Oreochromis niloticus: one gene and its partners. The protein of the gene in region 3 interacts with the protein of the main gene of each other region in a pairwise test. Links are inferred from orthologs where the notes say so. Each region holds a gene or a part of one and is shown on either strand. Other genes may lie near its edges.

The links. The genes of interacting proteins can lie anywhere in the genome.
Region 1: the proteins of gucd1 (region 3) and ngly1 interact in binary tests that used the Homo sapiens proteins (3 or more experiments, as listed by UniProt). The two-hybrid records come from large-scale screens. The link is inferred for Oreochromis niloticus from reciprocal best matches to the Homo sapiens genes GUCD1 and NGLY1.
Region 2: the proteins of gucd1 (region 3) and cth interact in binary tests that used the Homo sapiens proteins (3 or more experiments, as listed by UniProt). The two-hybrid records come from large-scale screens. The link is inferred for Oreochromis niloticus from reciprocal best matches to the Homo sapiens genes GUCD1 and CTH.

What each region holds. Positions count from the first base shown.
Region 1 is NC_031985.2:35,798,276-35,805,602, reverse strand, and holds the start of ngly1 (peptide-N(4)-(N-acetyl-beta-glucosaminyl)asparagine amidase), read right to left. Parts: upstream 3,035-7,327; 5' UTR 2,929-3,034; coding exon 2,828-2,928; intron 2,798-2,827; exon of another isoform or gene 2,032-2,797; intron 1,554-2,031; coding exon 1,439-1,553; intron 1,303-1,438; coding exon 1,093-1,302; intron 501-1,092; coding exon 338-500; intron 232-337; coding exon 12-231; intron 1-11. Other genes in the region: oxsm (3-oxoacyl-[acyl-carrier-protein] synthase, mitochondrial), read left to right, coding at 3,408-4,402. UniProt on the Homo sapiens protein: Specifically deglycosylates the denatured form of N-linked glycoproteins in the cytoplasm and assists their proteasome-mediated degradation. Cleaves the beta-aspartyl-glucosamine (GlcNAc) of the glycan and the amide side chain of Asn, converting Asn to Asp.
Region 2 is NC_031980.2:36,019,552-36,027,901, reverse strand, and holds the start of cth (cystathionine gamma-lyase), read right to left. Parts: upstream 3,035-8,350; 5' UTR 2,942-3,034; coding exon 2,756-2,941; intron 1,353-2,755; coding exon 1,271-1,352; intron 1,106-1,270; coding exon 1,010-1,105; intron 869-1,009; coding exon 759-868; intron 440-758; coding exon 305-439; intron 167-304; coding exon 109-166; intron 1-108. Other genes in the region: ankyrin repeat domain-containing protein 13C, read left to right, coding at 7,643-8,045. UniProt on the Homo sapiens protein: Catalyzes the last step in the trans-sulfuration pathway from L-methionine to L-cysteine in a pyridoxal-5'-phosphate (PLP)-dependent manner, which consists on cleaving the L,L-cystathionine molecule into L-cysteine, ammonia and 2-oxobutanoate.
Region 3 is NC_031977.2:6,600,242-6,607,577, reverse strand, and holds the start of gucd1 (protein GUCD1), read left to right. Parts: upstream 1-4,011; 5' UTR 4,012-4,521; coding exon 4,522-4,528; intron 4,529-4,611; coding exon 4,612-4,693; intron 4,694-4,875; coding exon 4,876-5,041; intron 5,042-5,139; coding exon 5,140-5,231; intron 5,232-5,322; coding exon 5,323-5,564; intron 5,565-7,140; coding exon 7,141-7,232; 3' UTR 7,233-7,336. Other genes in the region: p2rx4b (P2X purinoceptor 4b), read left to right, coding at 1-13, 766-838, 927-1,023, 1,108-1,188, 1,298-1,439, 2,320-2,456, 2,542-2,635, 2,729-2,794 and 2 more.

The sequences.
Region 1 (7,327 bases), on a different chromosome or scaffold from region 3:
CCTACACTCACCTGGGGAATCTGGTGGAAACCTGGCAGCTCTGACAATAGTGGTTTTCCACTCGCTGGGCTCCCCAGTGGAGGTCATCGGTGCTAGGACTGAGGGAGGGAGCGTTCTGAGTCTGTCCTCCACAGAGATGGCAGGGCAAACAGTCCACCCAGGTGAAGAAGTCATTTTTGAACCACCTGAGCAATTCCAGCACCAAGAAGTCTTCTATTCCAATTTTACATTCTAAAAACAGGACAGCAAGTCAAAAATTTCACCACACACACACGCACGCACACACGCACGCACGCACGTTACAAATCCAAGTTTTCTGTGGGTGAAATTCTCTTACTTGGGTCAGACTCATTAGCCTCCTTCAGCTTTTGTTGAGCAGCAGAGTACAGCTCCTGGTGAGGGATCAAACTCCGGGCTTTCTGTTGCAGCTCAGGGTTTTCATAAAGCAGCACATGTTGGAAGTTTGTTTGAAGAGTCACAAAGAAGCTCATGCTGCTCTCCTGACACAGAGGCAAATAAACAGACAGGTCTCCAATGTGTCATTCAAGGAAGTGAATGTTGTTCAAGCGTTGTACAGGCATTTGGTGGAAACTTAAATAGTGCTATTAATAATTTCCTCATTAACTACTGAAACTATGATGTCCTATAACTTGAAAGCATAACTCCTATAAAGTCACACTGCTTTATTTTTTCAGTTCTCTGTCCACGTTGTAGAGAAAACATCCTCTCTACAGATCAGAAAACAGAAGATCCTTTCAAAATAAAAATAACAAAAAGAAGATCCTTTGTGTTTTTGGCTTATAGAGTGAGTCTTGTTATCCATAATTAATAACTGGATCACATTACTTCAGCTAAATCATTGTAAGATCTCCCAGCCCTGGAATGCCAGATGGCTTGGTCAGCTGTCCAATATCCATGGATGAAAATCCACAATGCAGTTACCAGCTAAAGTTCCAAATGGCTAATTTCTGTGTTACATTCTCTGTCCAAGGAGGGCTCTATGCTCTGTAAACACAGGATAGAGTTGGCATGACCCACTTTAATCAGGGTTTCTCTACCCTTTGATTCATCAATGAGAGTGTCTTTATTTACCACGGACGGTGGCTGCTGTGCTGGAGCCGCTGCAGATAGGTTAGACGCAGCACTAGAGCTTGTTGCTGCTGAGGCTGAAGCTGCAGCAGGAGCTGGTTGGACAGGACATCCCTCACGTAGCCTCTGATCCCTTTCTGTGGCAATAGATTCCCTGATGAGCTTCAGCTTTTCCACTGATGCAGACTTGGGGAAGACTAAGTGAGTCTCAGCCTGGCAAGAGGTAGTTTACTCACAGTTAAGCAAGCGAGAAATGTCCAAAGGATTTCTAGGCAAGTTCTACGCAGCAAAAATACGAGCTTGCCTCTATAATAGAAGCCATCTGGTACAGTAGAAATGAATAAATTACCTCCTCAAATCCCATCTCAAAGAGACACTCTACAGCACCTTTGACAGGCAACAGTTTTGTGGAGAAAGTTGGATTCCCAATGCGTATTGATCTGTATTTCTCTTCATTGGGATACCTGTTAGAGATGACATATAATAGTAATCATCTGAGGAATACTGACTGATACTGACCAATCGCACATTTACAGTGTTATCATTTAAGTTGTTTAGTATCTGACAACAGATATAATGTGCTTTGAATCCACTGTTTTTCTACAAGTGTCATCACAGCTAAGCAGACAACATATATGGATCAGTTCATCTCAAATTATCGTGGGCCTTCTGCTTCACTAATTGCCAATTTGGCTAAAAAGTTCATGGTTCCAAGTTTACACATGTACACTGATCACTATAAAAGTTTTAGCTTCATATATAAAAGTAATTTTCCAGATATCTGAAGGAACGTTTGAACATGAACATCTCAGAAACTATTACAGATATTTCAGAAGGCTACATAGTTGTACTTTACAATAACGCAAAACAAAACATGAAGAATGCTTATTTAAAAAAACTCAAATTCATAGTCACAAAAACTAGAAAGTTTTATTTTCATTCATTTAAATTTCACGATACAGTGACAGTTGTGACGTGTTGTACAACAAAAACAAAACAGTAATAGGCATTTAAATATACCATTCAAAAACTGTTATTCGTTGTCTTTCGCAATGGTAAGTTGTTTTTAGTGTGCTCAACATGGGGCAGTTCATATTTTGAGAAGCCAAAACTCAGACATGTTTTGATCCGTCTCAATTTACAGATCCTGATTTCACTTTTACAATAAGAGAGGCCACTTTGTGTGGGGGCGGGTTTCTCGTGTACCTTCTTCCTGACGTTGCTATCACTTGGTATACCTACATCTATCATTACAGCTGTCTTCCTTTTCTTGTCCACCACCACTATATCTCTGGTTGGTTAGCCATGAGCAGATGGTCAAGCAGAAAAATAAAACGAACAAACAAACAAAACCCCCAAAACATGATTTTCAGATTAAATGACCCACGTGCAAACCAAAGATGTCTATGGTTATGACACATACTTCTGTGGACATTAAGAGAAGAATAGCATTCTCCTTTATTGACACATGCACTGACATATTTAGCGTTCCTTAACCGTTACTGTCCTTGTAGCAATAAATCGCTTAATAAACGTGTAAATATATAAATGTATTTTACATAACCAAAAACTGTTTTCTGTTAAGTCATTTAAACCCATTTCAACAGTTATGCCATGATTTTCTAGGAGTCGGTGAGTGACATAAAAGCTAAAGGGCATTTTTTAACAGCTACAAGCGCACAAAACACCGAGGCTTGACTGCAGCTGGGTAAGCTTTCCTAGCGTTTCGTTACCTTACCTTATAATGTTGTCCGCGTATGTAAGTAACAACTTCGTGACATCTAAGAAGACTTCATTTGGATTCTCACACAATGTTGTGACCGCTGGTGAAACAGCCATCTTTATATTTCTTGTAAAAAAATGTAAAAGTCCTGTAAGTTTTCAATGCAACAGCTAACGCTAAGTAGCTACTTTAGGGTCCTAAAGGAAGCTGCCCCATCAGAGCCTGAATAAATGCTTGATTCTTCTGAAGGACTTAAAAATTGTGTTTGAATATTTGTGCCGTAATTATACATAATTAAACGCTTTTATATGTTTTCTTCCTGTGGTATTGAGTTAGTTTATTTTTGTTGGCCATTTAAATGGATCTGGCCTTTACTAATACTACCTAAATACAGCTGAAGACAAACACAAGGAAGGCATGGACACGGACATCATAAATAACCGCTAACTCTAGTCTGGTCTGTTCTGTAAGTTATTAGTTTATGTAAGTCGGTAATTTATATAATTTTATCTAAATTTCGTTTTTCCTCTGATATTTACAGTAAAAACTCCAATCCAATAAGCCTCAAGCTGTCAAAGCTTACACAGACAGCAGGATGTCTGTTTTTACGCTGTTTTGTTGGAATAAACTACGGTTGAGACCACAGAACATAAGGAATCTTCTGCACAAGAATGCCGGTGTTTGTCCGAATCAGGAGTCTAGGCACCACAGCTCTGGACGGCAACAAAGAAGGAGGGTTGTTATCACAGGAATAGGGTTAGTTTGTCCTCTAGGCACGGGCACTGCTCTGTCCTGGGACCGTCTGATCAAAGGTCAGAGTGGGGTAGTTCCCCTGGACTCAGAAGAGTACAGGACTCTCCCCTGTAGAGTGGCAGCTCTGGTACCCAGAGGAACCAAGGAGGGTCAGTTTGAAGAGGAAACATTTGCTTCTCGTAAGGAGATCAGTAGCATGTCATCAGCAACCGTAATGGCCCTTGGAGCTACTCAGCTGGCCCTGGAGGATGCAGGCTGGTGTCCCAAAAGCCCGGAGGAGCAGCTCAGCACAGGGGTGGCTGTTGGGATGGGCATGGTGTCGCTGGACGAAATCGCTCGTACCTCCTCCCTCTTCCAAGAGAAGGGGTACAACAAAGTGAGTCCATTCTTTGTGCCACGCATCCTTGTCAACATGGCTGCTGGACACATAAGCATCAAACACAAACTAAAGGGTCCCAATCATGCCGTGTCCACAGCTTGCACCACAGGTGCACATGCCGTAGGTGATGCAGCCAGGTTCATCGCTCACGGGGATGCAGTTGCTATGGTTGCAGGGGGTACAGAATCCTGTGTGGGGCCACTTTCTTTAGCTGGCTTTGCTAGGGCCCGTGCCCTCGCAACCAAATGGAATAACAACCCTACACTGGCATCAAGGCCTTTTCATCCAGAAAGAGAAGGTTTTGTGATGGGAGAGGGGGCAGCTGTGCTCCTGCTGGAGGATCTGAACCATGCAGTGAGTAGAGGAGCCCGGATCTACGCAGAGGTCTTGGGTTATGGGCTCTCAGGGGACGCGACTCACATAACTGCTCCTACTGTGGATGGTGATGGGGCATTCAGGTGACTCATTTCAAGGTTTTCTCACTTGATGATACTGTTAATTGTTTGGGGTTTTTTGCTCATATTAGTATTTATATATTTTTCAAATATACTGATAATCAGTAAAGTAGGGTAAGAACAAATATAATTACTTGATGCCATAATATATGCCCAAAGTTTCATAATTGGTGTTTATGAAACTGTGAATTTAAAAAACTGGATCCCAGATAGAAGGACAAAAAAATGGATGGGATGCAACAGGTACATATCAACCATGCAGTTCAATGTAACCTTTGTAGTCTTACTGAACGGGTGGGAGGTGTTGTGGTGGTTAGTACTGTTGCCTCACAACAAGAAGGTTTCTAATTCTGCCTAGGACATTTCTGTGTGGAGTTTGCAGGTTTTCCCTGTGTCTCCACGTGTTCTCTCCAGATACTCCAGCTTACTCCCATAGTCTGAAGACATGCATGGGGTTAGGTCAATTGGTAAATCTAAATTCACCGATGTGTGAATGTGTATGGTTGTCTATCTCTATGTGGGTTGGATAAGTGGAAGAAAATGAGTGCACATTAGACTATATGTCAGAGTTCAAGCCACATTTTTTAAAAATCAATTTAATCCAATTTTATTTATACAGCGCCAAATCACAACAACAGCCGCCTGAAGGCGCTTTATATTGTAAGGTAGACCCTGCAATAATACATACAGAGAAAAACCCAACCCAATATGACCCCCTATGAGCAAGCACTTTGGCAACAGTGGGAAGGAAAAACTCCCTTTTAACAGGAAGAAACCTCCGTCAGAACCAGGCTCAGTGAGGGGCGGGGCCATACTTGCCAACGTTGAGACCTCAGAATTAGGGAGACATTCAAAAGGGCTTTTTTGGGGGGGGGGTGCTATCTGAAATATAACCGGACACTGGTGTAAATTCTCGACCATCTGACACTACTATTTAATCAGTTTTCTGTTTGACGTTTATTCAGCTGTGTGAAACCCCCGGAGGAACCCTCCCGAGGGATTAATGAAGTTAAATCTAATCTAATAACTTTAATCTCAGCCAAACTGATTTACTCAGGAAAAAATAAAACACTGCAAAAAGCCAAATAATAACATTTTTAAGTTATCCAAGTGACTTTTATATCATGTTTAACCTGAGTAGCGAAAGACTGCGGAGGGGTTGAAAACGATGTGCCGGGAGTTCGCTGTTCTCGCTGGCTCAGATATTTGAAGTTTACACAGCTACATTCTCGCCTGAAAATATGTTAAAAGTTTATTTTGCGACTCAGAAAGAGCAATAAGAGTAATATTAAAACTAAGTAGCTGCCGCCATTGTTGGAAACTGGAATTGGCTGGGCCGCGCTATGAATTCTGGGATATCCTGATTTTCGACCTGAAAATCAGGAGAAATTTGGGAGAGTGGCGGCTCCGGGAGATTTTCGGGAGGGGCACCGAAATTCGTGATTCTCCTGGAAAAATCGGGAGGGTTGGCATGTATGGGCGGGGCCATCTGCTGCGACCGGTTGGAGTGAGAGAAGGAAGACAGGATAACGGACACGTTATTTTACATTCATACAGCACACTGTTCTATTCTGTACAATTTAAACACTTTATCTAACTCTCTCTCATCTCAGCCATATTAGAGTCACAAATTACATTGACACACGTCTTTGGACTACACTAATTGTAGGTAGGCTATGGTAGTGAACGAGATGAATATAGGCTGCTATGTAATCGTATATATACCTTGTTACCATTACCAAGTTAAAGTACCCGTGTTTGAGAAAGAGTTTTAAAATATCATTTTTCAGTTGATTTTGAAAATATTATTCTGGAAACAACCTCGAGTTTAAAACATCATTGATCAGCTGTGTTGTATGCTGATACATGCAAGGCACCAACACTAATGTGCTGTTATTTCTCATATTCAAATTGTGTGTGCTGCTTTTTTATGTTAGTCGCAAACACACGAGTATAAGATTAGATGATTTTCACATCAGTTACAATTTATAATTATCTTTATATTTTCCATTTTTAGACTACTGACATTTTGTTGCATCCACCTGGTAGCAGTATCTTAAAGGATGGATGAAGGGGCAGGAGAAGGGTACCGCCTGGGTGAGAGCCAGTGAACATGTTATTTTGCTGGCGTAATTAGTTATACAGGAAGCTTGTAGCTTTGTGCTTGGTGGTAAGGGGGTTTTAACAGGTTGAAATGTTGAAGATGAGTAAAGATTTACTTGTCATCCTATAAAAAATCTTTAAATGCCTGTGATGCTTTAAAAACACCAACAAGCCTGGACTGGTCTCTCTTTTCTTTATGTTAATTGATTTTTCTACCAGATGTTCGGGGTTGTTGAGTGATTCTGTTCCCTTAGCACAGCTTCTCTGTCTTAATGATATTATGTCCAGGCTGTTTATTTCCTGGAAGTATTCAGACAAAGGCAATTTGTGACAAACTAAGGTCAATACGCTGGCACATATTTTAAAAGTGTCAATCCTTTCATTGTAGCAGATACTGATGTAAACCATACAGTACAAAACTTGGATGTAGTCATCATAACATCATCTGTTAGTTTTGGACCTCACATTTTATAACTTGAACATTAGAAATCTGGCCTATACCATGAAGCCAGAAGACACTTTATATGGATACAACAGGGAGCCAAGTTATCAACTAACACTTGCTTGGGCTGCTGGGGGGGCAAAGCAGCACTAAGGCTTCTGTCACAATTTGAATATAAAAAGAACCAAATCCTTTTTATACTGGTTACAGTTTCAGTCAGTTGTTATGGGTATATTGGGTGTTTCTTTTTACAGAGAAGTCTATATGACGCCATCCTGAAAAAAATGACTTGAAATCTGCGCTGACATGTACACATTCATTTCTTGACTCACATGTCTTTGTTTAAATGGAGCAATAAGAATCTGTAGGGCAGCAAAAACAAC
Region 2 (8,350 bases), on a different chromosome or scaffold from region 3:
TAAAGTAATTAATCCATTCTAGCGTGCAACAGATTCTAGATGACTAAGATCACAAAATGTTTGCATCGACTTCTAATGCAAATGTTAGGTTAGTAAAATCGGACCTACCGTTCATGTATTTGGTGGCTGAGTACATGCAGATATCAGCTCCCAAAGCCAAGGGGCGCTAAAGGTGCACAAGAGAAACAAGAGTAAATCATTTCCTGAATTATTCCAGCATGAACTGGAATTTGATTGCAGAACGTTATCGAACTGTTGTTACATAATCAACAGCGCACAAAATGCACCGTGGGTCAAGTTTCACCTGGAAATACGCCGACATGAAGGTGTTGTCCACGACCACCACTATGTCTTTGTTGTGCTCATGGACCAAGTCGGAGCAGGCCTTGATGTCCACCACCTTCATCATGGGGTTGGTGGGTGTTTCAATCCACACCAGCTACGTAAGCAAAGAGATGATTTTACTGTATAAGTCAAACCAAACATGGGGGCGGAGGGATGGGGGTAACTTCCAGAAGAAAAAGAAAAATCATCCAATCACTTGAACTGCTGATTCACAATGACCGTTTCAGTTAGCTTAAAGCAAAAAAGACACGCCCTATTATGCAACATACAAGTTAAACCAGACACTAGTACAACAGCATGTGTTTATTTTGCGGATAAAATGGAAAAGTCTCCTAAAAGGTGCGCCCAAACACAACAAAACAAACAACACATGTTCTGAAATCTTCTGAAATGTAATTTTTGCTTTGACATACCTTAGTATTTGGCTTCAAGGCAGCCTTGAGCAATTGGGGTTTTGTGCAGTCAGCAAAAGACACATCCAGGCCGACTTCAGCTGCGATTCTTTGAAAGTAGCGGTTTGTGCCTTGTGATTAAAAAAATAAAAAAATCGCTGTTAATATCACTAAACCACATCATAAATAAGTAATCTAGGAAACAAGGTAACGTCTCATAGCTCAACGAGTTTGTTTTACACATTTGGCCAAGTTGCAAAGTGGTTTCTCACCTCCATACACGTCATCCATGCTGACGATTCCATCGCCTGCCTTGAGCATGTGAGTGATCGTCACTGTGGCCGCTAGTCCTGAAGCGAGAGCAAGGCCTGCAGGGAAAAGGTGTGAGAAGTTGTCAGAGCAGGAATTATTTTCATCATCATGTCAGAGAAGACTAAAATTGGAAGACTGTCATTTTTGAAGCATTAAACATTAAGTAAAATGATGACATGCTGTTTAAATTCACTGCTGCGAAATATGATTGGCTGACGTACAGTACTTTGCTCCGTCCAGTGCAGCGACGGCTTTTTCAAGGCAGTTTCTGGTAGGATTTCCACTCCGGCTATACTCGAAGCCCTACATCAACACAAGGTTTTTACATTTCCATCACCACGGTCAACATTTATAATACTTGCGTGCACCTGTTCAGACAGTAAGGGGATGCAGTTATTTAGTGGTCAGTGATGACTTGGTATGTGGCACTTTTGTTAAGTTTAGGTATTAAAAAAAAAACCCCACAGATATAGATATTTGACTTATTATTATTAATGTTATTATAAAATACTTTGTGGTTGGATTATATATATGGTGCAGGTACATACAAGCTGTTGCTTCTGCCTACACCCTTTTTGTCTAAAACATAGTCGGGTTTTTCCTTCTTTTTCCTTGATTTTGAAAAACACTGCTTGCTTTGCTACGATCAGAAAGATGTAAATGAAATGAAAAAAATAAGTTTTTTAATATTTGGAGAGAAAAAAAATTACCACTTCTAATGGAGGTGATGTGGGGCTAATTAAGAAAACCAAAGTCTTTGTAATGATGATTATGATGATTTTAAAATCATAGAAGCTGTGTCTTTGTGCTTTGTAATTTCCAAAACACATAATTAAAAGGACATGTTGGGATAATTAATTCCCTGTGAAATCAAACGAATGCTTTAAACAAAGCGTTTAAGTGGTTTGTGTGAAGAAAGCCATCGTTTCCATATCACGCCCTGCTCCCACCTACTGCACGTTTATGTTTAGATTCCATTGATCATTTACTGGTTCAAATCGGAGAAATGAGCTGATTAGGAAATAACCAGATGTTAGACCTGAGTGCAAAAACTCTAAAAACAAATGTTTAACTGGTAACGCATTACATATGAGGAGTCTTACAACTGTGAAACATTAAGCAATGAAAACTGACACTAGTGACCTCTGCCCTCGAGAATTTCGTTCCTGTGTAATGTCCTGCCTCTTTTTGTCAGTGTAGTGCTAGAAATCTGTCATCTGTTAGCCAATCAATGCCAGAAGCAATGAGAAGGAAAAAACGACTTTAACAATCTGAAACAAAGGAGATAATGATGTTAGAGCGGAAACAAAACATTATTTATCTAACACAGGCGGATTCTAGTCTAGACTCTCAGTAATGGATGGCCATGGGCTGGTTATCACACGCAGGAAGGAATTACAATACAAGTCGAGCTTCATATTTTGACTGAGGGTAGTTTCTTATTTAACAGAGTGCGCAGTCAGTCACATGAAGTGGGTTAAAAACACTTGAAATCACAGATTTTACGTTAACTTTACTTACCTAAAGAGGCATTCTTAAAATAATACAAGACACGCCTCCATACAGAGCTAAAACATAATAATAGTATAATAAGAATAAGAATAACCTAAAAATATACAAACATTTAGAAACCATCGGGCTTCATATCGTCCCTAACACTGCAACGAGTCTGATCCTAACCTGGCCTAAAGTAACTGGGTACTTACAGCGTGCTTTCCTGGAGAGTGCTGCTTGAACGTGGTAGAAAGGGAAATCGGCGGTACTACAGCCATAGATTTCCATTGCTCCGGCTCCTGACCGACGTGGATGGCATCTGTTGCAAAGGATTTATAAGCCGTGTGGAAACCGGCGAACAAATCGCTTTGTTCTTCTTTTTTGTTCGTGTTACTCATGGCAGTGCGCTCCAAAAATGACCACAGCGGGCTGAAGATGAGTAGGCATTACCCGTGCCCGGTAATGGTAAAAGACATTTAATGGAGCCGTGCGCTGCGCTTGTCGCTCGGAGCCAATCAGCGCTCGACACAAACCGCGGAGTGGCGCTGATTTGCTGGGGGTTAGTGGGCGTCCAGGCCACGTGGCCATGCACGTTGTTTACGCTGTTCGTCGTGATGCAATGTTTCCTGCTTTTTAAGTCAGGGTCCGCGCCTCTTTTTCCAACACGGTGGCTACTTTTTAACACGAATGTACTACTGCACGTTGTTTCCTTCTGGGTTTAGGATTCAGATATTTACCCAGAGACAGTGATTTATAAAAGCAACAGAGTCACTTTACAATAACACAGACTTGGGGGGGGATACTCGATTTTTCAGCAACCGCAATAAAAGTTCTTGTGTTGGTGGCACAATTCACAGAATCTGGTGCATTTTTTTTATCCAATCATATTTTTATTAGCGCTATTTTCTTTTCCTCTTTAAAAACATTTTTGTATCTGAAGCTGTGTTTCCAGGGGTGAACCACAGGGGGAGGAAGTGCTCTGTAATGACTTCTGAACGAGAACAGTCCGCTTTGCTTTATTGTGTGCAGTTTGTTGAGCAAATTCACACAATCGCGTGGAGTTAGTGTGGTCTCAAAGTGGAAACAACATCAAATAAATATAGGAAAATTTCTGGCTATTTGCTTTTTTCTTTCATGAAAACAACAAATGTAATCTTTCTATCAGAACTATCTTTTTTGGTGTAGTCACAACATTTTGGTGACAGTGAGACAGTGGTAACACGATAGAGGTGTTTTTGATGCAGATTTAAGTATTTGTTGTTGTTTTTCATTAATTCTTTTATGTATGGCAATGACTTAGCACGTAGACAGTGGGTGTGCTCTGGTATGGAACGATCTGTGGAAAAACAGAGGACTCTGTGCAGTCTGTGATTTAGTAGCTTAAAGAAGCACCTTTTGCAGCAGTAACTTGAAGTAATCGTTTTCCGTGTGACTTTATCAGTCTCTCACATTGTTGTGGAGGAATTTTGTTCCACTCCTCTTTACAGCGTTGCTTCACTTCATTGAGTTCTGTGTGCACTTGTTTGTGCACAGTTTTCTTAAGTTCCTGATACAGTATTTAGTCAACTTTGGGCCCTTGAACCACCTTGATTCTTTTCTTTTCCAGCTATTCGGCTGTAGATTTACTGCTGTGCTTGGGATCAAGCTGGACTCGTATTTGACTCTAAAATACTTTGGTTTACAGAGAAGTTCATGGTCGATGCGATGAATGCAAGGTACCCATGAAGGTGATGTCCAGGTGAAAATAAGTCCAATTCATCACCCCTCTGCCATTGTTGGTATGAGGTGTTTGTCCTGATATGCTTGTGTGTGCATTATTAAATTATAACATCTCCACTTTGGTGTCGTGTGTCCAAAGGACATTGTTCAAAAAGTTTTGTGGTTTATTTAAATGCCTAAGCTGTGCTGCCATGACCTTTTTACAGAGAAGAGGCTTTCTCCTGGCAGCCTTTGCAAATTAGAAAACCAACAGGCTCAACTGCAACCCCAAAAAACCATTTAATGGGAGCTGTGTGTTTCAGACAGTGTTAATGGAGCGTGTTGTTTTGTACACGTTTCAATGATTTAGGTCTGTGGTTGGAGTGCACTGCCAGTGTTGCATGCTGACAAACTATTAATTGTTACCACCTGTGCCTATTAGGGATTAGGTCCCGGTAGTGTTTTGTGGATGGCTGCGCATGTGCATTAGAACTGCTGAGGAAAGCCTTGTGCTAAAATGCATTTATTTTTTTCTTATTGTCTAGTAATATTAAAGATTTTATACATGAAATTGTGAGTGCTGAAGTTCTTATTCATAAGTTAATACTTCCAAACGAGTTATACTTGTTCAGTCTTCTTCTAATTGTACTGTCATGAACTTAAACATTGAATTTGTTAACCGAAGTCTGCAGAATCTGAAGAGTAGGTCTTGGGCTTTTTGCAGTTTCTCTGAGCATTGCACGGTCTGAACTGGGAATCCACTCTTGGAAAGACTGTTGCATTGTTTTGGTAAATGGCCTGTATTTATATAGCGCTTTTCTAGTCCCTAAGGACCCCAAAGTGCTTTACATATCCAGTCATTCACCCATTCACACACTGGTGATGGCAAGCTACGTTGTAGCCACAGCCACCCTGGGGCGCACTGACAGAGGCGAGGCTGCCGGACACTGGCGCCACCGGGCCCTCTGACCACCACCAGTAGGCAACGGGTGAAGTGTCTTGCCCAAGGACACAACGACCGAGACTGTCCGAGCCGGGGCTCGAACCTGCAACCTTGCGATTACAAGGCGAACTCCCAACTCTTAAGCCACGATTGCCCCGTTTTAACACAAACTGTGAAAACTTCTGCTTTTACACTTCCAGATAATCAGTAAATCAAGTCCATTTGATTAGTATCTGGCTGCTACTTACTCGCATAATTCCTGTGGAAGCAGAAAGGGTGTATTTAGTTTGAATGCACAGTCACATGAAAACTTCACGTGACTGTGACTACTGTAAACAAGATATCACCTTTGTTTTAGGAAACTGTGGACATTTCATGCTTTTGCATGTATCCAAACAAATCAAGCTGCTGCTGCTATGGCCTTTTTTTTGGCAAAGTACGCACTACAGTTTGAACAAAAATTCTGTAAATAAGGGCTTAGAGACCGTCGTGTTTTGTTTTGCTTTTTTCTAAATAAATTTATGACTATTTATGAAATGGAATCTGTCATATTTCTTGTATTTTAAATACCTTTCTTTTTTCCTGAAGCACCCATCATTGTCATAAAGAATTGATGTTCATTGTTCATTCAGGCTTTTGGCCATACACTTCATTCTAAATAATAACATGAAATAGATGATAAAATAATTACTTACAGTGGTGATAACGAAATGCATTCACTGAGGTATCTGGGTGCAATTTTAAGTACATGTTTATTTCTGTTCTTCTTAGTATAGATCTTCCACTATAGATTCATTTGAAAGTTGGTATTCCTGGTTATTTATTTGAGCTATTCAATGCAGATGATCCACAGAGAGTATGCTACATGTAAGATTTCCATCTCCAGCACTAAACTGTTAAAGTTTTAAAGCTGAGGGCTGTGGCTGAAATTAACACTTCCATATAAAAACATTCAGCTGATGTACTATGTGGTCATTAAAATGTAGAACTTTTATTGTCATCAATGTACATTGATGTATTTTGTAGTATGATTCTGACCTTTAAAAAATTAAAGTACCTTAACATTTTACTGAATAAATAATATTTTATGTTGAATTTATTATTCAGTATATATTGCAGATCACGTTGGCAGATTACACACAGGTAAAAGACCTTAGTAAAATGCAGAAGACACAGTAATGCAGTATAAAAATTTAAAATCCAATAATGAGTGCAATAGGCTCCTTTTTATGAATAACAAGCATGCCTGTAACTCTTGTAACTCTACAAACAAACAGTGCAGTGTTAAATAAAAATAGCAGTTCCACAGCGTTAAATTATTACTTTACAAAGTTTTGTCCTTCATCCAAGTTTTTGTTTTCTGTAAAAACAAAAGAGAACAAGAGAGCAGACTAATATTTTAAAGTGATTTAGCATAAAGAGGTGGTAAGTACTGTACTGTACACACAGCTTTTATGAAAATATAAAACAAGACAAGCCCCTATGAGCAGACAGTTTTTACTATATACATAAAAAATATATTTAATTATTGTTGGGATAAACGAGAAAACACTATGTTAGCTGCAAGGGGGGTTGCTGGCTGTTTCCCATGTGTCATGTAAGTTTTAAAAAATCATAGAAAGTGTAACTCCCTTGGTGATATATTTTTGAATGCAGTGCCTTCATGCACAGTACATAATAAAAATAAAATATGTTTAGAATTTAAATAAGTTGCGACCTCCAGTTCGGCAGAATTAACAGCCTGGAAAAAGCAAAATTAAATTAAAAGTAATTTTAAAAAATGAAAGAGGAGCGAGGAAAGACTTTGCAGGAGAGAATTAATTGTAGTTTTTTGGTGATTTTTTTTCCTTTTTTGAGGAATTTGGTTACTCGCGAGTCTGAACGCTTTAAGTTACAAGGCCAAAGCTGATGGGTAGTTGATGTGTGTGGGAGTTGGATTTCAGTGTTCGTGTAGCTACATTAGATGTAATTTTAGATTAAAATGTAAAATATATGGCTCTTAAATTTGGACTCAACTCAAATACGTGAGTAAAATAATAGAAAACGTGTTTATTTTACACTACTGTAGGCTGTGTTTTGATAAAATAGGAGCGGCTTCAGTGAGTGGCCGGTAATAACCTTTCCCAAACTCTCGCGATAATACGAGCCGGAAGATATCAGCCGAAGCGTTCGTACAACTGGAGCCGCTTATGTTGTACTGCAGCCGTCGACAGTTTGGGGCGGTAGGAGGAGAGTAGACTATTTGTTTTCATAAGAAACCGGCACGAGGGGGGTGCTACTTGTTCGTCCTCGAGCAAACTGTGGTTTTTGCGTGTCCGTGGGAGAAGTAAGTGTTTTCATGTTGTGCAGTTTCCAGTGTTTGCGCGAAGACTTCCAACTGGCGAATCGCATCAGTTCGCCCGGAGGGTCATCGTCAGCGACGACACCCTCTGCTCCGTCAGCGTCGACCGTTTAGAAAATGACCGGAGAGAAGATCCGCTCCCTGCGCAAGGACCACAGGCCGAGCAAAGACGAGGACTTACTGGAGCCGGACGAAGAGGCTGCGACCGGGACGTTTACAGCCTCCAGGACGAACAACAAGAGCAGAGCGAGTAAAATCTTCAGCAACCACAAGTTAATCAAGTCTTCATCCACACAACAACAACAACAGCAACAGCAACAGCAGCAGCAGAACCAACAGTCCCAGATTAATGCTAACACCAACACACTGTCAACATCCGATGTTATCGATGACAACAACAAAAACCCCATTATCCGTACTGGGCAGGACTTTCCGGTGCACGAATGTGTATTTAAAGGAGATGTCCGACGACTGTCTTCGCTCATACGGACGCAGAATATCGCCCAGAAAGACGTCCATGGTGAGTTTAACAACTGCTCATCTCAGCTGCTTTAAAAAGCCCACAATGAACTGCCAATTTCAAGGTCCAGTGGAGCTTAGTTTTAGCTAATAGGCCATCATTCTCCGGCAGCATTAGATGTAGGCGAGGTTTCTTATTGCCAAGGCCCGGATAACTGATATCCAAATTGAGGACAGTTTAAAGCGCCTTGAGGCGACTTTTGTTGTGATTTGGCGCTATATAAATAAAATTGAATTGAATTGAATTGAATTGAATTGAATTTAATGTCATACCCTGTAATTTCTTCAAATTCACTTCTTTCAAGC
Region 3 (7,336 bases):
ACGTTGTCCCGAGGTGAGTCACTGCTGTTACAAAACAGATCCTATAACCAGGCCCAGAGCCAAGGGTTGGAAATGTCTTGCCAAACTCACACAACCAGTGGTGAAGACCATTAGAGTGCCAAGTACATGGTCATTGTAAAGTATTAACAGCTTCTTTTTTTTGATTTCTACATTTTTGTGGCTATTGTTTTTCAGTTGGCAGAAATCAAAAATATGATTATAAACCCTTTAAAGTCAAGTGTATCATGTTTTATGTGAGTTTTTGAGACTTCTACACGTCAGTGTGATTTTTTTTTTTTTCCCACGACAAGTAAATTGCACAAAAATACCTGATGCAGGAAATATGGCACAAATTAAAACTCATATAGCCAAATGGATACTTATCTAATTAAAAATTGTTAATTAGACTCAAGAAATTGAGTTAATTAGAAGTTAATTAGAAACTCAAGAAACTCAAGAAACTTCAGGCTTTAAAGGGTTAAGTATTAAATACTTTTTAATGTTTGCATTAACCCTTTAAAGCCTGAAAAAAAGAAACAGTTTCTAGACAATTTTTTAAATTGAGAGCTTCCGACAAAGATTTTTAATTAATTTAAAAATGTAATTAATCAGTTTGTGTCATATTTTCTACATCCAGCATTTAAAAATGTATTTATTTATTTAATTGTTTTGCATATTATTGCTTAAAAATGTTTTGTGAAATTAATTTAGGATTTTTAACTTCACGTTCCCTTGTACACATTAACACTGGAGATTCTCCTGCAGCTTCCAAGCCCATCAACTATTTGTGTGGATGACTGCAACTGTGTCGAGGGACACAGTGATCCCCGGGGCAACGGTAGGCTTTCCTCCCTGATGATACAGCCCCTTTAATATTTGTGGCCTCACGCACCAAAAACTCAGCATGAAAATAATTTTCCACCCAGGTATACAGACGGGACTGTGTGAGAACTACTCCACCACTGCACGGACCTGTGAAGTGCTCTCATGGTGCCCACTTGAAATAGACACTAAGCTGCCTGAGTAAGAGCACATTTACCATGTTAGAATATTTGTTACTAGTTGCAGTGTTGTGGAGGCTTGATGTGTCGTTTCATGTCCCGACAGGCATGCGCTGCTGGCTGCAGCAGAAAACTTCACCGTGTTGATCAAAAACAGCATCACGTACCCAAAGTTCAACTTTCACAGGTCGGTGAACTGCATTTGAATGTAAGAGGGAGATCTGTAGATGCTTAAGCAAACATACAGAGTCACAGTTTTTCCCTATTAAACCGGAGCCTTGTCCTCCTTCCTCCAGAAGAAACATACTGCCTCATGTGAACTCCTCATACCTGAAGAGGTGTGAATTCAGCCGTCTCACAGACCCACACTGTCCCATATTCAGACTCAAGGATATTGTCTCAGAGGCTGGGGAGGATTTTCAAGACATGGCTGTGAAGGTGAATCGAATGATCGTTGTCTTTCTGTACTGGAATTCATTGTTCAAGTTCCTGTATGGTCTTCCTCCAGTATATATGTCTCATAAGCAGGATGTGAGCCAGTACAGCCCTCAGGTTCCCAGGCTCCCGTCTGATAGTCACTCCCACAGTTAGTGTAATGTATGCATTTTTTATGTTCTCTGTGGTCACCCCAGATCACAAGGCAAAAACCTTTTTAGCTTCTGTGCTCTGTGCTGCGATTAAAGTCTGCCGTAGGAGCTGAGAACAGCTGGAAATGCTGAACTCTTAAAGCTATTTTGTTGGCTTTCCATTTAGTGTGGTTGAGCAACATTACATGGTTTATTTTTATGTAGCTGTTTCATCATCATTGTAGGATACATTGTTTTACAATGTTGTCTCTTTAAACTCTGAAAAGCGGCTATAAGTTAACATTTTCATTCAGCATTGCCATATTTGAACTTAATAATTATTGTAAGTCTTACACTGTTTTCAATTATAGTTGGTGTTTTCAACCAAATTTTAGGTCCTTACAGGTACTTATCTATATATATATATTATGATCATGGTTGCCTACCCATCACCTAGCAATGGCCATTTAACCTTTTTTTTTTTTTTTTTTTTTTTTTGCATTTATGCTCCTACAATAAAACGCATTTTACTATTTCAGTTTCAAGGCCAAAAGCACGAGCAGTCATTAAAATACTGTGGCATAGGCGTGTACTAGTTTTATACCATTCTTTGTAATTGTTTTTTCTCCAATCACTACTTTTTGTAGTGACTATCATATTTTAATTGTTGTCTTTAATTACATCTGTACAGCCCTAACCTAATTTTAAAGGTGCTAATTGAATAAACCTGAACTGAGTGATTGGTTTTACAGGGGGGCATCCTTGGTATTCTTATTGACTGGAGCTGCGATTTGGACTGGTGGGCAGGGGAGTGTTTACCTAAATACAGCTTCCGGAGGCTGGACAACAAACACCCTGTCAACAATGTGGCCCCTGGTTACAACTTTAGGTGAAACTATTTTATTTTTTAACAGATGCTTACTGATGAATGTATAAGGCTGAATAAAAGAACTGCTAAAACTTCTGTCTTTTAGATTTGCTAAATACTACAAGACAGCAGATGGAGAGGAAACCAGAACGTTGATCAAAGCTTACGGGATCCGCTTTGACGTCATTGTGTTTGGAACTGTGAGGCCTGAATAAATCTTGAAACAGCAATGATTTTATCAAGAACCTTCCTTGGTTTTACTTTAGTCTTACGGTAGTTTGGGGTTCTTACAGGCAGGAAGATTTTCCATCGTTCCAACCATAGTGAACTTGGGTGCAGCCTTGTCGTTCCTCAGTTTGGTGAGAAGAGAAATGTTCAAACTAGCATCCGTATAAGTGATGAAACACCAGATTTTTTATATTTTGCCTATTTTCCTTCAGGTGCCTGTGGTTGCTGACTGGTTTTTGGTGACTTGCTCGAGGAAACGAGATCTTTACAGCAGACACAAAACAACACATCTCACTGAAGATGCAGACAGTGCATCGGTAAGGGACTTTTCTCCTTCACTTTCACTGATGAACTTAATTAGTACTGACTAAGATGTTAAATGTTGGTCTGTTTGTTTGTGTTTTTCTGTAACACAGGTGTCAATGGGCACCACCTATGGAACCCAGTAGCAGGAGCAACATTTCTCTACAGAGAAATGGGAATCCTCATGAAACGTGACATTAAAACATCATTTGAGTACTTCACTGAAACCATAAAATGTGTAAATAGAAAGAAGGAGGATAAACAGTGATGGAGGAAGAACTCTGGCTTTTATTTAAGTAGCAGCTACAAAACACTCACTAGTAAAAGTATAAATGTGTAATCTTCAAAATATAATTATAATACCAGCAGCAAAGATGGAGATTGAACTATTTCAGAATGAAATATAGCACTGGGCTACTAATTACTGATGCATTAATATGTTCTTTTACAGCTTGCGGAAATTATTTGATTTGATTTATTTGCACTTTTGGGTAGTTTCACCCAAAATAATGCATTATCAGTTACCAGGTAATTGTATTCAGTAATATGAATTGAGTGAAAAACATGTAATTGTGTGAAAATAAATGGGAGTATAGTTACAGAGTATTTGTATAATGCATTAGAACATGGAATCATCATCATTCATATATGCCATAATCTTGGCACAACATGGTGTATTTTATGAGCCAATACTGATTTATAACAGATTGTCTTATATGATTATTTCCCCCTCTCTACGATAGAAAACATTTATATGTATCCAAGATTATTTATTTTTATACTAATCACTCTGATTTTCAGCATAAGTAGCCTAAACTGCTAAGTGCCCAATAATGTCACCAATCATAGCTTCATAGCTTTATTTATATTCTACATCAAAAATTGTGTGTGGTGGTGGGGGAGGTTGTTTTTTGTTTTTTCCTTTTGCTATGAATACATTTTTTAACACTTGAAGACGTTTGAATTTCCCGTCTCCTTCTAATCACATGACTTATAGTGAGAAGTATACATTAAAAAAACATCGTCCGTTTGAAATTGTAGTGAATAGTAGGATTAGTCCTGAAATACTTAAAGTTTGTCTAAAAATATTTCAAATCAATGGTTCAAGTACATAGTACTGAAAGTGCGTCGATAGAGTTTTCATAAGAAGCGTTCAAGTCTCCTCCAGACCACATGGTGGCAGTATAACTTTACTGAAGACGCAACCAAACACAAGAAGCGTCTCAGTACGCGAGTAAACACAGAAGCGGAGGAGCGTTTCGCTTCGAAGTGTCGGCACGGAAAACCGTCCTGAAAATGAGTTTTTGTTGCTGTTTTTCTTGTTAGTTATGTGTGTGCGCCTCGCAGCGGCGTGAGTCACAGAGCTGTGCGCGTTTTATCGGTAACAGAGCGATAAATAGTGCTAGCCTGGACGCTTGTAGTCGGGGAGCTAGTTTTTTTTAACTAGTTAGCATCGATGAGGGCACCCAGCCTCGCCCTCACTGCTGCAAACAAGACTGACCAGCTGGTACTGAGTTAGTTAGCGGGCGGTCTGTGAGAGAAAGAAACCAGCAGAATGACAGGTGAGTGAAACCGTGAATCAGTCTTGTGACAGCGCTAGTGTTTGTTTTGTTCAAGTGTGAAAGTAACTCCTCGGTTTACTCAGATGATGTCCTGCTGGATGTTCCTGTTATCCGGCAGCTGTACCACTGGGACTGTGGCTTAGCCTGCTCCAGGATGGTCCTCAAGTAAGAGCACATCAAGGTTTTTACCTTCAGAAGTCATGTTTTTATTGCACTATGTACTGTATCTGCCATACGGACTGCAGTGCTTCCTGCACTGCCTGCCAGCAGGCTCTTTTCTGAATTGCAAATCAAAGGTGCCTTGACATTGTGTGAGGGATTCACACTCCGGTTGTTTGAATGTGCAGGTACCTCCACCCTGTCAGCGATGATGAGTTTCAGAGGGCGTGCTGGGATCTGAAGCTGACAGAAAGTGTGTGGACTATCGACCTGGCCTACCTCATGTGCCATCTAGGAATCAAACACTGCTTTTGTACACAGACTCTGGGTGTAGATAAGGGCTTTAAAAACCAGGTATGTAGAACAAACTAACAGTGTAATTCTAGCCTGTTTTGAACAGTTTGATAGTTATCTATGATTGTGTCTTGATGATGTTTTGTTGTTGTTTACAGTCCTTTTACAAGAAGCATTTTGATACTGAAGAAAACCGAGTGAATGAGCTCTTCCTTAAAGCGGAGAGCAAAGGTGTGGTGGTGAAGAAATGGTGAGCTTCCTGTTGATTTTAATCTACCCGCCTACTTTTTTCAGTACCTTAAAATAAATATATGACCTCAGTTGTGTGTGCCTTCTCACAGTTCTGTTTCAGTTCAGGAAATCCAGTCTCATCTGGAGCAGGGCCACGTTGCCATAGTGCTGGTCAATGCTGTGGTGTTGACATGTGAACTGTGCTCCCAGCCTGTCAAATACTGCTGCTTCATGCCCGTGGGTCAGAAGTGTTTCTGCAGGAAGCCGGACTATCAGGGTCACTTTGTGGTTGTGTGTGGCTTCAACAGAACCACTGGCTCCATCTTCTACAATAACCCAGCGTATTCTGACCGTGAGTATACTTGTATTTCTACTTCTACTATAACTCTAACTGAAATTAATCTGTGGTAAGTAAGAGAAAGTCTTACTAAATGTGAATCCTCCTTAACCTTACCTGTCATGACACTGCTCGTTGTGTGGAAGTTATTGTAGAAAAGCTGCCAGAGAAGTGGATGGCTCAAGGTTTGCGGGTGATCTTCTAGATTGATCTAGATTTTAATATTTCACACAAATCCATACTGGGTGCACAAATGTGCTCACTGGTGTTTTGAGCACCACAAGTAACTGCTGCCTGATTCCATTCACTTAAAAAGAAAAAATCTCAAAGGCCGGTATCTCCTAAAGTCTTCATGTCACACTGGAATTATCAGGATGGCCATCATCCTGCTGTTGCCTCACAGCAAGAAGGTCCCCCACCCCCACCCGTTTACTGTGTACTTCGCCCTGTTGCAGATGGTCAAGAGACCGATTTGAAAGCAGAAGAAAATAGATGGATGGATGAATAACACTATAGCAAAATCCTCTTAATTTGAGTTCTGTAAGCTGTTCTTTTTAAGGAATCCTCAGAAATAAAATATATATGATAAAATGATAAAATTAAAATAAAACCTACTGTTAGGCTTAGACTAAGAAAGGTTACATTTTTGCACACAGTGATGGAGTCAGTCCTTAAACAGCAGCTGCTCTGCTTTCAGCTTTGGTGTAATGCCACTTTTTGTTGCAGCTGTTTTCAGCCATCATGTGATTCGTGAACGTCAATGTTTCCATTAACATAAACAAACCTTTGGGGGGGGGGGGGGGGGACTGGGGGTATGGTAATACTGGTGTATGAATTATTCAGTTATCAGGAAGAATACCTGTTAGCTCTGAGCACTCTGTTATCTTTGCCTTGCTTGGTTCCATGTCACTGCATGAGCTGAACCCCTCACATGGTGAACGACAGAAATGCAGAAAAAAAAAAAAAGCTAAGTGGGTTTCTTTTTTTAAAAACAGATAAACCTCTAAACGGCGGACTCAATTTGTGGGGCAACTGTGCTGTCTTTTCTTCATCCTCCTTAGTAGTGACAGAGTCAATTCAAGCTGGTAGCACAAGTTTATGCTGCCTGGCTTGATGTTCAGTGCTGTATTTGTGCAGTTTCTGGAGTTAGACATGGTTCATGTTTCACAAGTCATTGTTTTTTCCGTAAGCAAGACTCTGTTGATCAGAGTCTTATTTGTTGTTTCATATAAATGGAGTCGTGCATGAGAAAGGTGTACACTTACTAAAGGTCCACTCTCATATTGCTTCAGCATAGTCAACATAATATATTCAGGCCCAGCACTAATCCAAAGTAATTCTAATGAATCCAGAGGGAGACATGAGGGTGTGGATCAAATTTCATGGTAATCCAGCAGGTGTTGAGACATTATGTATAAGCACCATGGCTGGTGGTAATCACTGTACGGGCACCTGTGAGTTTTATAGCAGTCCATGAACATATAGAGCTAACAGTGGGAAGCAGACCCAGAGTACACTCTTTGAGCAGCTTATTTATAAATGTGTTTTTATTTATTTAACTTGGAGCTGAAAGATCTGTGTGTGTTTTTAGGGGTGTGCTGCACCAGCGTCAATAACTTTGAGGAAGCTCGACGCAGCTATGGGACGGACGAGGACATCCTGTTCGTCTTTAAAGAGAGTTGATGGATTTGGATTTTCTCATTATAGGAATATCAAAATGCTGCAGATCCCCAGTCTAGTGACACCTCCTCCTGTCTGCTGTCACAGATCCCCCTTTTGCAGGCTGT